Rattus norvegicus: one gene and its partners. The protein of the gene in region 2 interacts with the protein of the main gene of each other region in a biochemical or structural test. Links are inferred from orthologs where the notes say so. Each region holds a gene or a part of one and is shown on either strand. Other genes may lie near its edges. The genes, in order: Pcna, Rad18 and Ube2a.

Region 1 (3,748 bases), on a different chromosome or scaffold from region 2:
TCCTGAGAAAGCCTTGAGTCAGGGCTACTTAGGAATTAAGAGAACTAGTGTGTTCTGCTTGAATGAGGGCTTGCCAAGCATCTTCCCCTGCCATCCCAATTTCTTCCCCATTTTTTGAGATCCATTTTCTGCAAGGTAGACTTTAAACTGAGAATCATCCTGTTGTTGCTTTGAGTGTCACAGTTATGGGTTTGAGCCACCATGTCCAGCTTCCTCTAGGCACATAAAATGTCAGAGTATTCAATGCAACTCTTTCCGAGTTGCATGAAGTCTTATTTCCTTTGGTACTGTGGATATTCTTATTATTGTATTGAGTCCTGTTGCCTGTAGCTAGGCCTAAATTACAACCTAACTTTGCTCAGTCTGCTTTTGCACCATTAAATGAACTAGTAACTGAACCTACAACACATAAAAGCTATTAGAGGAGCTACATGATCCCAAGACTTTTACACCCCCAACCATTCCGTTCACTTGCTAATCCTCACTGATTTGTCAAGAGTATTTCCAGGAAGCAAAAGGTTGTACACTTAGCTTTCCAAATCCTGTCTGTAAAAGCTTATGTGGCATCATCTGAGTTCCAAGCCAGCTTGGTCTACTCAGAATGCCATCTCAAAATGAAAGAATGAATAAACAAACAGAAGTCAAGGCTTAATGGCTAAGCCGGCAATCCTGCTTCAGACACAGTTAGCTGGACGACACCTCTTGCTACTTACAGCTTCCTCTTCTTTATCAACATTGCTTGTCTGGGACAACTTAATGTTCCCATTGCCAAGCTCCCCACTCGCAGAAAACTTCACCCCGTCCTTTGCACAGGAGATCACCACAGCATCTCCAATATGGCTAAGGTCCCGGCATATACGTGCAAATTCACCAGATGGCATCTTTACTACGCAGCTGTACTCCTGTTCCTGTAAATGCAAGGTTAAAGGTCAGTCTAGAAAAGAGGAAGACTCAGCTTCATGTTCTCAAGTTTCAGCACCTTAACTAGAACTCAGAACACAAGACTTCTGATGTCTTTACAACTCAATCAAGTTTAGGCTGTTGTGGTCTGGTGAAATGGCAAACACCACAACTCCACTTTAGAACATGCATCAGCTGGTATCACAGCTTGGTAAAACACCATCAGAAACAAGATACTTACTGGGATTCCAAGTTGCTCAACGTCTAAGTCCATTAACTTCATCTCATAGTCTGAAACTTTCTCTTGATCTACCAAAAGAAATCCAAGTGTTACTGAAGCACATGTTCATATCTATGTTGTAAATTTACCACAACCCTGTTGTTTTTAATTGTGAGAAACAGAAACAGCACACTTTAATTTCTGTAGCAACTGAGTTTTAAGGGTGTAACTTACTTGGTGCTTCAAATACTAGTGCTAAGGTATCAGCATTATCTTCAGCCCTTAATGTAATGATGTCTTCATTACCAGCACATTTTAGAATTTTGGACATGCTAGAAAAAAAAAAGGACACAGGGCTTATCAACATCATGTCTCCACATTTACATTTTTAAATTTATATTTCACATTCATGATTGGAGAATTGTTAGGGAGGATAAGGGTACCCCGAACCCTCTCAGAGGTTAAGCAAATTATCGGGTATATGTGATCCTTAAAAATCGATTTAGTAAAATGCACTAAAAGCCAACATTCAAGAACGCATCCTTTTTAGTGGGGTGTCCTCGGTTTTCAGCGTACTGGAGAGTGTGCCCTATCGCGTCTGGCCTTTTCATAAATGTTTCAAAATGTATACAAGTGACACTAATCCATATATCTGTACCAAAATAAGTCACATATTGTCCTTGAAATGTATACAGGAGGCACTAACACAGGTAGTTGTAGCAAAGTTAAAAGCTAAAACTGAGATTTTCCTGCAAATCCATGACGCGCAGTGAGATTCTAGAAGTCAAGAAAAGGCCTATCGTCACTCTAAGACTCTAAGTCGACAGTCCTTTTTCACCAGAACTCGCTTATTAGGCGCTAAAATCGGCCAGAAAAAGCTGCAGGCACTTAATGAGCGCAGCTCGGAAGCACGCATTTTCCCGCTGACTACCGCTTTGTGGCTTTGGCGCGGGAAAAAAGTAGGCGCGACAGCCAGCGCGGGCTTTTCGGAACCGCGCGCTTTGGTGGGTGATGTCCCCGGCACCACAGGCCAATCAGAAAGCGCGGACGGCCATGCCAGCCAATGCGAGTGCAGGAACACAGCCCCGCCAAGAGCCGAAGCGGGAGGGATGGGGCCCAGCTCCCGCCACCCGCTCACCTGGTGAGGTTCACGCCCATGGCCAGGTTGCGATCGCAGCGGTATGTGTCGAAGCCTTCGGAGCGCAGAGTAAGCTGCACTAAGGAGACGTGAGACGAATCCATGCTCTGTAGGTTCACGCCGCCCGAACTGATGTCCCAGCAGGCCTCATTGATGAGGTCTTTGAGGGCCTCCAGCACCTTCTTCAGGATGGAGCCCTGGATCAGGCGTGCCTCAAACATGGTGGCGGAGTTGCGACGTCTAGATGAGAGTTACTGTAAGGGGAGCGAGGTCTTGCTGACAAGGTACCCCGACTCACGATGCAGAAGTAGCGTGAAGACCAGGAGGGACGATAACCAGTCACCTGCGCCCGCAACCGTCTAATGCCGCGGCTTCCTAGGCGCGCGCTCTTTCAGTGCGCGAGGTTGTGGCGTCACAGCGCTGACCCACCCACCTCTCCTCTAGAACCAATCGTATCCGTGGTTTGAGCAAGGCCCGCCCCGCCGCGTATACAGAGGCGGAGCTGTGCGGTAAGAGCGTGGGAGGCGAGGGGCATCACGGGGTTCGCGTAGGCTGTCGTCACCGCCGGTGTTGGAGGGAGCTTAGGCTGTGGTTTCCATGTTCCTTAGGAAGTTTCTGCGCCACGGAAATGAAAGCCACTTGCAGTGCGCGGCGGCCTGCCTTGAAGAGGGAGACTGTAGTTCCTTCAAACACAGTGGAGTGCGTTTCTTTTACTACTGCGTAAAAAATATGCCGCAAAATATTGAGTAATAAAGAGGCCATCTTATCTGAACACTCCCCAATTTCATAACACTTACCTGGGTGCTTCGCTCTGAACTTTCCTCCCTAAAGATTTAAAAAAAAAAATGCCTCTTAACGCGAACGCTTCTGCAAAGATATATAGTTCATGTGTACCACGTAATTAGTTTCCTGTATGGTTGGTTTCTTTTATATTTTTAAAGGTAGATATTAGTATTTTCATCTTAGTTTTAGGCTTAAGATGAACCCAAGCCTGAGCCCCATCTTGAAAATATTAGCTGTTGCAGGTGAAGCGTCTTTCATATGTCCCTGGGCTGCAGCATTTTGTTCTACTAAAACTTCTTTTTCCTATTGATTATGAGGATGGAGAAGAACTGAATGTAGGTAATGGGCATCATTTACAAAAGGATATAAATGATTTCTATTTCTAATGCTTTTTCTCTTGGTTTTGGTGGTAGATAAAATATATTTGATAGTGGAAGTGTAAAACTTCCAGCTTCCATTTGGAATGCCTCTTCTAACTGTAGACACAACTTTTGGTGTGTGATGTTTTATTTATTTGCATTTTTTTTTTTACTAATAAGACATATAAAATTTCAGAAAGTTAAAAGGATTGTTTTAGCTGGTAAGAGTGTTTTACAGCTAATTCCAGCACATGGGAAGGCTGAGGTGGGAGGGCCTAGATTTAAACTCAGCTTGGACTATCTACCAAGACTGACACGAAGGGGGAAAAAGGAATGGTTTACGTATGA
Region 2 (3,648 bases):
CTTGAGTTAGAGTCTTCTTCGTCTTGAGCCTGCTGAGTGCTGAGATCATAGGCTTATGCTGCTACCCTTAGCCTAGTTTTTCTTTATTTTTTATCTTTTTTTTAGTTGTAGAAAAATTTAAATATACATGAAAGTATATTTAATGAGACAACCCTCTTACTTACCTTATATTTAACTTTTCCTATGAAAATGGAATGTAATCTTTGTATTCTTTGTTCCTGGCTCTTGTTTTTGGTCTTACCATTGACTCAGGACATTTTCTGCAGTTTTAGGAAAGATGGCTGTGGTAGTTATCTGTGTCTTGTTCAGTATGGGGACTGGGGGATGTCTCATTTGTTGTCACTGTTGATTGATACTAGTTGTGAATTTTTGTTTTGTTTTTAAGTAGCATTTTATCAAATAGTTCTAGGCCTGCCAGGGCTTTAGTGAGACCCTGTACAGAAAAAAAAAGAAGAGAGAAGAAAGGAAGGAGGGAAAGAAAGAAACAGTGCCTTGATAAACCCAGACCAGCAGGAAAGAAAAACTATACTCTTTGAAAGTTAGTGCGTTTTGTTTTGTTCTGACAAGCAGTTACATTACCAGTTCTTTGCTTTTGTTCTGTTAAGAGTTGGTGCATTGTATTATTAGATTCTATTTTAGTTTTACACACATATATAACATGCATATAGATGTAAACACACGCATGCGTGCACATTTGTGTGAACACACTCTGCAGAGTGAACCCTTTTCCTAAGGTTCGGCCTCTGACATCTTGCCTCAGTCCCGAGGTCTCCATGAGGGTATCCGACTTTGGCTGGCCTAAGCAGAGCATCTTTCTAACACTGCCTCTGTTACCTGTTCACCAATGTGTTTCCTACCAGGCTCCCTCCCACATGCCTAGCACATTGCTCTCTAGTTCTCATCATCTTTGCCCCGAATTGTGCTCTCTTCTCCCTGGTCAGGGAGGTGACTTTTCCTGCTTAGATGTCAGTTCAACTACAAATCCGAGAAAGTGCCTCCAGGTGAAGATGTTGGGTCAGTGTTGGTCACCTCATTTGTCTCTCCTCCCAGGGGCCACACTTTTGTGTGGCTTGTGTTGTAGTGCTAACTCTTATTTCATGTCTTTCTCCAGATTTTACTTAGCTGTTGAGGAGTAAGTCTCATGTCAGCAGCTAGAACCCAGTATCCTCTAAAGTCCTAGTAACCGCCTTTAGTTCTGATTTATCGCTTTATTTCTCATTTTAAAAGAAACGGTTTTAGTTTGGTTGTGATTGTGACAGAAGTTCTGTGTTTCAGAGGAACTAAGTATTAACTAGGAAGACTTAGTGGTTTAATATACCTTGGCATCTTCTTTACCTGTTGTTTGTTTGTTTTGTATGTTTCAAGGACTCGCCTGCTGCAGTTTGCCTTAGAGTCACCACCTATATCTCCTGTGTCTTCCACCTCAAAGAAGGTTGTAGTTAAGGTACATAATGTTGAAGCCACCCAACACCCTGTCAAACAGGGGAACAGGTTAATGGATAAGTTCCTGATTAGAGAAACTGGTGATTGTGTATCCGAGTTGTTGGGAAAAGAAAATGAGAGGAAATTCAGCCCTCAAAAAGAGATAAGCACCTCTGCTGATATTAAAGAGACAAGTCTCCTAGGAAAGACGGCACTTGGTCTCTCGGATGCTAATGGTCCTGTGACACCCTCTACATCCACTCTGAAACTGGATACTAAAGGTAGGAAGTCGTTTTTATATTTGCCTTTTATACTTAAGGAAGCCTCACTCATGTGGTATGAGATTAATAGGCAGCACTTTTAAGGGAGAGTAAGAAAGACTAGACGGGGTTTCACCTCACCATGTCTCAGGCATTGATGCAGGCCATGGATAGGGGCCTATTTTATTAGTTTATAGATTAGCAATCAGAATGATTATTGCCTAATAGTTGTAGAGTAAGTCTTGTATCAGCAGATAGAACCCAGTATACTTGTGGTAGCTTTCTGTTTTTAGCTTGGAATCCTATCACCTCATCTAGTTCCAGTTAACCCTTAAAGAGGCCTTCATTTTATACCACTGGTTGAACGTGTCCTTGCTGTTCTGCTTATAGCTTAAGACCCTTTGGCATATGACAGTACTTCAGGGAACCTATCTTATTTCCTGGCTCTCCCAGAATGTCTTGATATCCCACTCTTCTGCAGTATACTCACAATGGCAGAATAACTGAAGCCTGGCTAGATGTGCTGCCTGTTCAGTACATACCGATTGCCTGGTACATGCACTCCTCCTTTGTTTATATATTAGCTCAGGTGTTTTCATGGTGCAGTGGTACAGAGTGGCCTAATGGTGACAGAGCCAGAATGGAAACCCACAACCAATCTCTGTGACCTTACCTTTTACAAAGAATGTGTGTGTTTAGCAAACGCATACAGCCCCCAGTTGAAGGCCAGTAGTGTTTACTGGAAAATTGAAATTAGCTTATTAGTACTTATATTTTTAAGGTTTATTTTATCACTTTATATTTTTGATTATGCGTATCAACATCTCAGCCTGGAGATCGCTCCATCTGCAGTTTTTGTTGTGTTTTTATTTCACAGGGATATGTTTTCAATTCTTGTAGAATTTTTTTCTTTTTTATCCAAATAAAATCTTAGAATGAACCATCCCATGTAAAATAGATACAATTCTCTGTGTTCTATTAAAAGTAGGGAGTCTGGAGACTGGTGCCACAAGCCTTCCTTCTTTGGCCACTGCATTTTAATCCATGGTGGTGTGCAACTCCACAAAGCTGCAGCTTTAATAGCATGCACTTGGCCTGGGAGCAGGGCGGTCAGTAGTTCAGCCAGACCGTAAGAAGCCAGCGAAGCCTTGGTTGCGCATAGGTGGGACCTCATTAGAGTTGCTGAGATTGCTTCTCCTGTGTAAGGTGGTCCTAGGGCCTGGGGAACCCCAGCATTATGGTTTCCTAGCACCTTGTTTCTAGTCAGCTAACTCCCAAACCTAATTGTAGTCTCCAGGCCCAGGATTCTGATCATGTGACTTCCCAAAAAGTAGCTAGTTCCTAGGAACCAGTTTGCCTGCCTCCTTGCTCTTTTTTAAAGAGTGTATCAGCTGGGAGTCTGTCTTTTTTCTGAAAGATGTCAGTTTGTTAATTTTTACCCTTTCTGTGGCTAATAAAGTTTCTCCCTTTCTTTTAATGCAGTGTCTTGTCCTGTTTGTGGGGTCAGCATTCCAGAAAATCACATCAATAAGCATTTAGACAGTTGTTTATCACGGGAAGAGAAAAAGGAGAGCCTTAGAAGGTGAGAAAGCTGGGCCCAGCCTCTGGCCTGCCTTTGCATGATGCCTCTGTGCTTGATAGGTGTGGGTCAGAAGCAGGACTCCTTTGTCCTGGGGACTTGCACTCCGCTTTCCTTCCTGCGTGAGTTTTCCTTTAATGCTGGTTTCCTCTCCATCCTCCTTTTCTTTCTTCAGCTCACCTCTGCCATATGTCAGTAGCAGATTAGCGCTTCCCACTGCTACATTATGACTTAGAGAAACTAGAGACTTAGAATTCATTTATCTTTTAAACTTTCTTTTTAAAGTTCTCAAATGGTCATGCAGAGAGAGGCCTTGCCAAAGAGAGCAGGGACAGCTTATATTTGAAGAATATAAATCTTTCATTGGTTCTTAGGATGTTTTAATAT
Region 3 (3,748 bases), on a different chromosome or scaffold from region 2:
TTTTCACACTCAAGAGCCATTTATTTATTTATTTATTTATTTATTTATTACTTTCCCCATGATTCTGAGTAGTTACCCCAGCCTCTCGTGTCTGCAGGACCATGACCCTAACATCCTTGCCTTTTGAGAACTTGTTTGCCTGTGCCAACTCTTTCCCCCACTCTCCTGTTTCAACTAATCTTCTCTCCGCTCCTCTTTCCCCGATCCTAGACGTAGTTGGCAGTTTAATAAATCATGCCTTGTCAAAACCAAAGAAAGGTTAAGGCATATTCCTGGCAGGCTGAGGTGACCTCAAGGCCCAGCCTCTGGGATTCACAGTGAGTTTGAGTTAGCCTGTATTACATTAGATACTACAAGAGACCAACCGTACAATCAATCAATCAATCAATCAATGAAGGTGGAAGAAGCAGGGAGCCAACAACAAAACAACAAGTAATTAAAAGATTGGTATGGTGGTGCACTCTTGTAATCCCAGCATTTGGGAGGTGAAAGCAGGAGACTCAGGAGTTAAAGTCATGCTCAACCACACAGTGAGTTAGAGCTTCCCTGGCCTACAGGATACCTTGTTTCAAAAGAGGAAAAAAAGAAAGGAAAGAGAAAGATTTCCTCCCCCACGACCCCCCCCCCCCCAAAGAAAGTAAGTAACTATAAAAAGAAAACTTCGCAGGGGTTCCTCTTCAAATCCGCAAGTGGAGCCCATGCGTTTCCCTTTTAAATTCCCGACAGTTGAAGGCTGCCTTTGCTGCCCGCTTAGCCTTTCCCCTCGAACTTGACCGCCACCGCCCCACGGTCCTGGATTGGGGCTCTCAGGCGGGGCGTGACTGACAGAACAACTTTGGTCCTCCCCCGCCCCGTAGCCGACTTGGTACAGTCCGCCCGGCGTAAGGCGTTCCCCCCCACCCCACCCGCGCGTTCTCCTCAGGTTGGTTCGGCCCCCGTCTACTCAGGGGTGGTGCTTAGCCGGCGCCAGACCGACCCTCGGCTTCGGAGAGGTAGTGCTGTTCCTCTCGGTGCTCCCTCGGCTTCGGCTTCCTCCGCTTCCTCAGGGACCGCGGACCCTGGTATATGCCCTACCTCTGACCCTGCTAAAGCCATGTCGACCCCGGCCCGGCGCCGCCTCATGAGGGACTTCAAGAGGTAACCGGCGTCGGTTAGGGAAAGGCGCTTGAGGGGGCTGCTTGCCCGGGGCACAGGGCGGATCCCGAAACGGAACGGCTCCGGGTGTGGTGGTGAGGGGGGCCGGCCGCGAGTCCCGGGGCTGAGGGGAGCCGCTGTGTGTTTCTGAAGGTTACAAGAGGATCCTCCGGCTGGAGTGAGTGGAGCCCCGTCGGAGAACAACATAATGGTTTGGAACGCGGTCATTTTTGGGTGAGTCTGCGGTCCGGCCCTCGCCGGGGACTCAGGGGACCGGGGCCGGCCCCTCGATGAGCCGCGGGGGGAAAGGGGAAGATAGTTGGGGTTGTTTGGGCCTAGGCGCCTCCCCGGAGCCTCTGCCTCGATTAGCTCCGTTCTCGCTGCCAGGGGAACCGTTTGGGGTTCTAGGGGGGCGGGGTGGGGAGCGGTGGCGGCCTGCGCTGCCTCCAGAGCCCCGAGGGGACAGGGGTGGCTTCCCTAACACCGGACAGCTGTGCTGGACGGAGGGCAGGGATGGGAGACCTTGACAGAGCCGCCTCTTCAGAGGCTGCGGGAAGGTGTGGACCCCCTTGGCTGGTACTAACCGGTTCTTGTTTTTGTTTTCCTGTGTTGCAGGCCCGAAGGGACCCCATTTGAGGATGGTAAGAGAGTTTCTTAGCCCACCTTTCAGGAGCCTACTCACCAGGGAGAAGGGGGTCCCTGGCATCAGCAAGCATCCCCAGCTTAAAGAAGCAGCTTTGCCCTGCCTCTTCTGCCCACCAAAGGCTCAAGTGAAATTCAGTGTGTGGCAGGTTGTTCTGGATGGTCCTATGCTTAACTAAAACTGCACTTTTCTGGGTTTTTTTCCCCCTCCGTTTAATATATCCTGGGTGAAAGTAGTCACTTTTTAAAAGAAGTGCCACAGTGCTGGTATTCAGGATTTTGGAGGTTCGAGCAGTGTTTCTGCTAACTTTAGCCCCCACGGAGATAATTCAATATAAAACCGGTCCACCAGAGACCATCTGGTTCACTATGCGTTCCATCCCGAGGGCAAGAAGTGTGTTCAGCAGTACTTAGTGTGTGCTCTGTTGAGGGCTGAATGAATGCTTGCAAGATTCCCTGACATACAATTCCCTGGCTTCAACAATATGATTCAGAAGGCACATCAGCCTCACTTCTTTAAAGATGTTCTTACATACTTAATTTCAGTATAATGTTGTTCCTTGATTTTAAATTCATTTACAGTGTGTGCTTTCGTTTAGATCTTCTAATTGGTAATCTCAAAGCAACTTCAGAATTGAGATTTGTCTCACAGTAGTACCCAGTGTCCAGCCTACTTGAATGTTGAGTTTGTATCAAGAGGTGCATAACAAACGAGTTAGGCTTAACTTTTAAAAACACACGTTAAGGTCTCTTCAAAATTTGATATATTGAATGCTGCCGTGGAGTCTTATGCCATTAAGTTTTGCGCTTGGAAGGCAGAGCAGGCAGAGGCAGGCAGCTCTCTATGAGTTTGAGACTAGTCTGGCTTACTGTAATTTCAGGCCAGCCAGAGTTACATAGTGAATCCTTGTCTCAAAAATAAAGCAACAAAGAAAAAGCCCCCTTCTAATTTGACATAATTACAGATTCCTGTGCAGTTGAAATAGGTACTATAACAAGTCTATGTAAAGCCTTACTCCAGTCCCATTACCTATTTGGTAATGTCTTGAATGACTACAATAGCAGAATCAAAATGGTCAGTGATACAGTTTTATATGCATAAACCAAATTGTGTGTGTGTGTGTGGGGGGGGGTTGAACCTTTTAAAGGTTTAATTCACTTAAAGGATGATTAGAACTTTCTGAGTTCATGAAATTCTCTGGAATTGGGGGTATTTTAGTAACATACGAATGTGCACAGATACATAGACACATTCACCTTCAGTTTGAAGGTGATAACAGAAACATTTCTAAAACTACTTTTTTTTTTGGTTCTTTTTTTCGGAGCTGGGGACCGAACCCAGGGCCTTGCGCTTCCTAGGCAAGCGCTCTACCACTGAGCTAAATCCCCCAACCCCCTAAAACTACTTCTTATATATGTTGCTGACTCAGACTGCTTTTACTTACTGCTAGTAACCAAACGCTGTGAGGTAAGTCAAAATCAGCCTCGTCTGGAATTTGTCTCAAATACTTAAGATAGTCTTTGGAAACCATTGATAGTTACTAGAATACTGTTAGCTTTTACTCTATCTCACTGGTTAGGTAAATGTTACCTGCCGCAATAAAAAGAAATGACAGAGGACTGAGTGATTCTAGGGCACACAACTTTGGTGAATTTAATGTAAGAGCTAGTCAGTGAAAGAGCTAATTAGACTTAACTTTTCTCTACTATATCGAGATATATATAGTTTTGTTTTTTGAGACAAGGTTTCTTTGTGTAGCCTTGGCTATCCTGGCACTCTACTCAAGAGATCCATCTGCCTGTGTCTTGAAAATTCTAGAATCAAAGGTTGTGCCAAGTCTTTTTTTTTTTTTTTTTTTTGGTTCTTTTTTTTTCGGAGCTGGGGACCGAACCCAGGGCCTTGAGCTTCCTAGTTAAGCGCTCTACCACTGAGCTAAATCCCCAGCCCCGCTAAGTCTTTATAGATAAGTTT

Evidence for each region.
Region 1: of the proteins of Rad18 (region 2) and Pcna, one has a biochemical effect on the other in vitro, tested with the Homo sapiens proteins (21 studies listed by BioGRID, with this or other methods). The link is inferred for Rattus norvegicus from reciprocal best matches to the Homo sapiens genes RAD18 and PCNA.
Region 3: the proteins of Rad18 (region 2) and Ube2a form a complex in vitro, tested with the Homo sapiens proteins (12 studies listed by BioGRID, with this or other methods). The link is inferred for Rattus norvegicus from reciprocal best matches to the Homo sapiens genes RAD18 and UBE2A.

Annotation. Positions count from the first base shown.
Region 1 is NC_086021.1:139,953,280-139,957,027, forward strand, and holds the start of Pcna (proliferating cell nuclear antigen), read right to left. Parts: upstream 2,542-3,748; 5' UTR 2,480-2,541; coding exon 2,259-2,479; intron 1,453-2,258; coding exon 1,355-1,452; intron 1,210-1,354; coding exon 1,142-1,209; intron 909-1,141; coding exon 714-908; intron 1-713. UniProt on the Homo sapiens protein: Auxiliary protein of DNA polymerase delta and epsilon, is involved in the control of eukaryotic DNA replication by increasing the polymerase's processibility during elongation of the leading strand.
Region 2 is NC_086022.1:147,359,767-147,363,414, reverse strand, and holds part of Rad18 (E3 ubiquitin-protein ligase RAD18), read left to right. Parts: intron 1-1,365; coding exon 1,366-1,703; intron 1,704-3,164; coding exon 3,165-3,264; intron 3,265-3,648. UniProt on the Homo sapiens protein: E3 ubiquitin-protein ligase involved in postreplication repair of UV-damaged DNA. Postreplication repair functions in gap-filling of a daughter strand on replication of damaged DNA.
Region 3 is NC_086039.1:120,979,129-120,982,876, forward strand, and holds the start of Ube2a (ubiquitin-conjugating enzyme E2 A), read left to right. Parts: upstream 1-955; 5' UTR 956-1,093; coding exon 1,094-1,137; intron 1,138-1,287; coding exon 1,288-1,368; intron 1,369-1,749; coding exon 1,750-1,775; intron 1,776-3,748. UniProt on the Homo sapiens protein: E2 ubiquitin-conjugating enzyme that accepts ubiquitin from the ubiquitin-activating enzyme E1 and transfers it to a E3 ubiquitin-protein ligase. In vitro catalyzes 'Lys-11', as well as 'Lys-48'-linked polyubiquitination.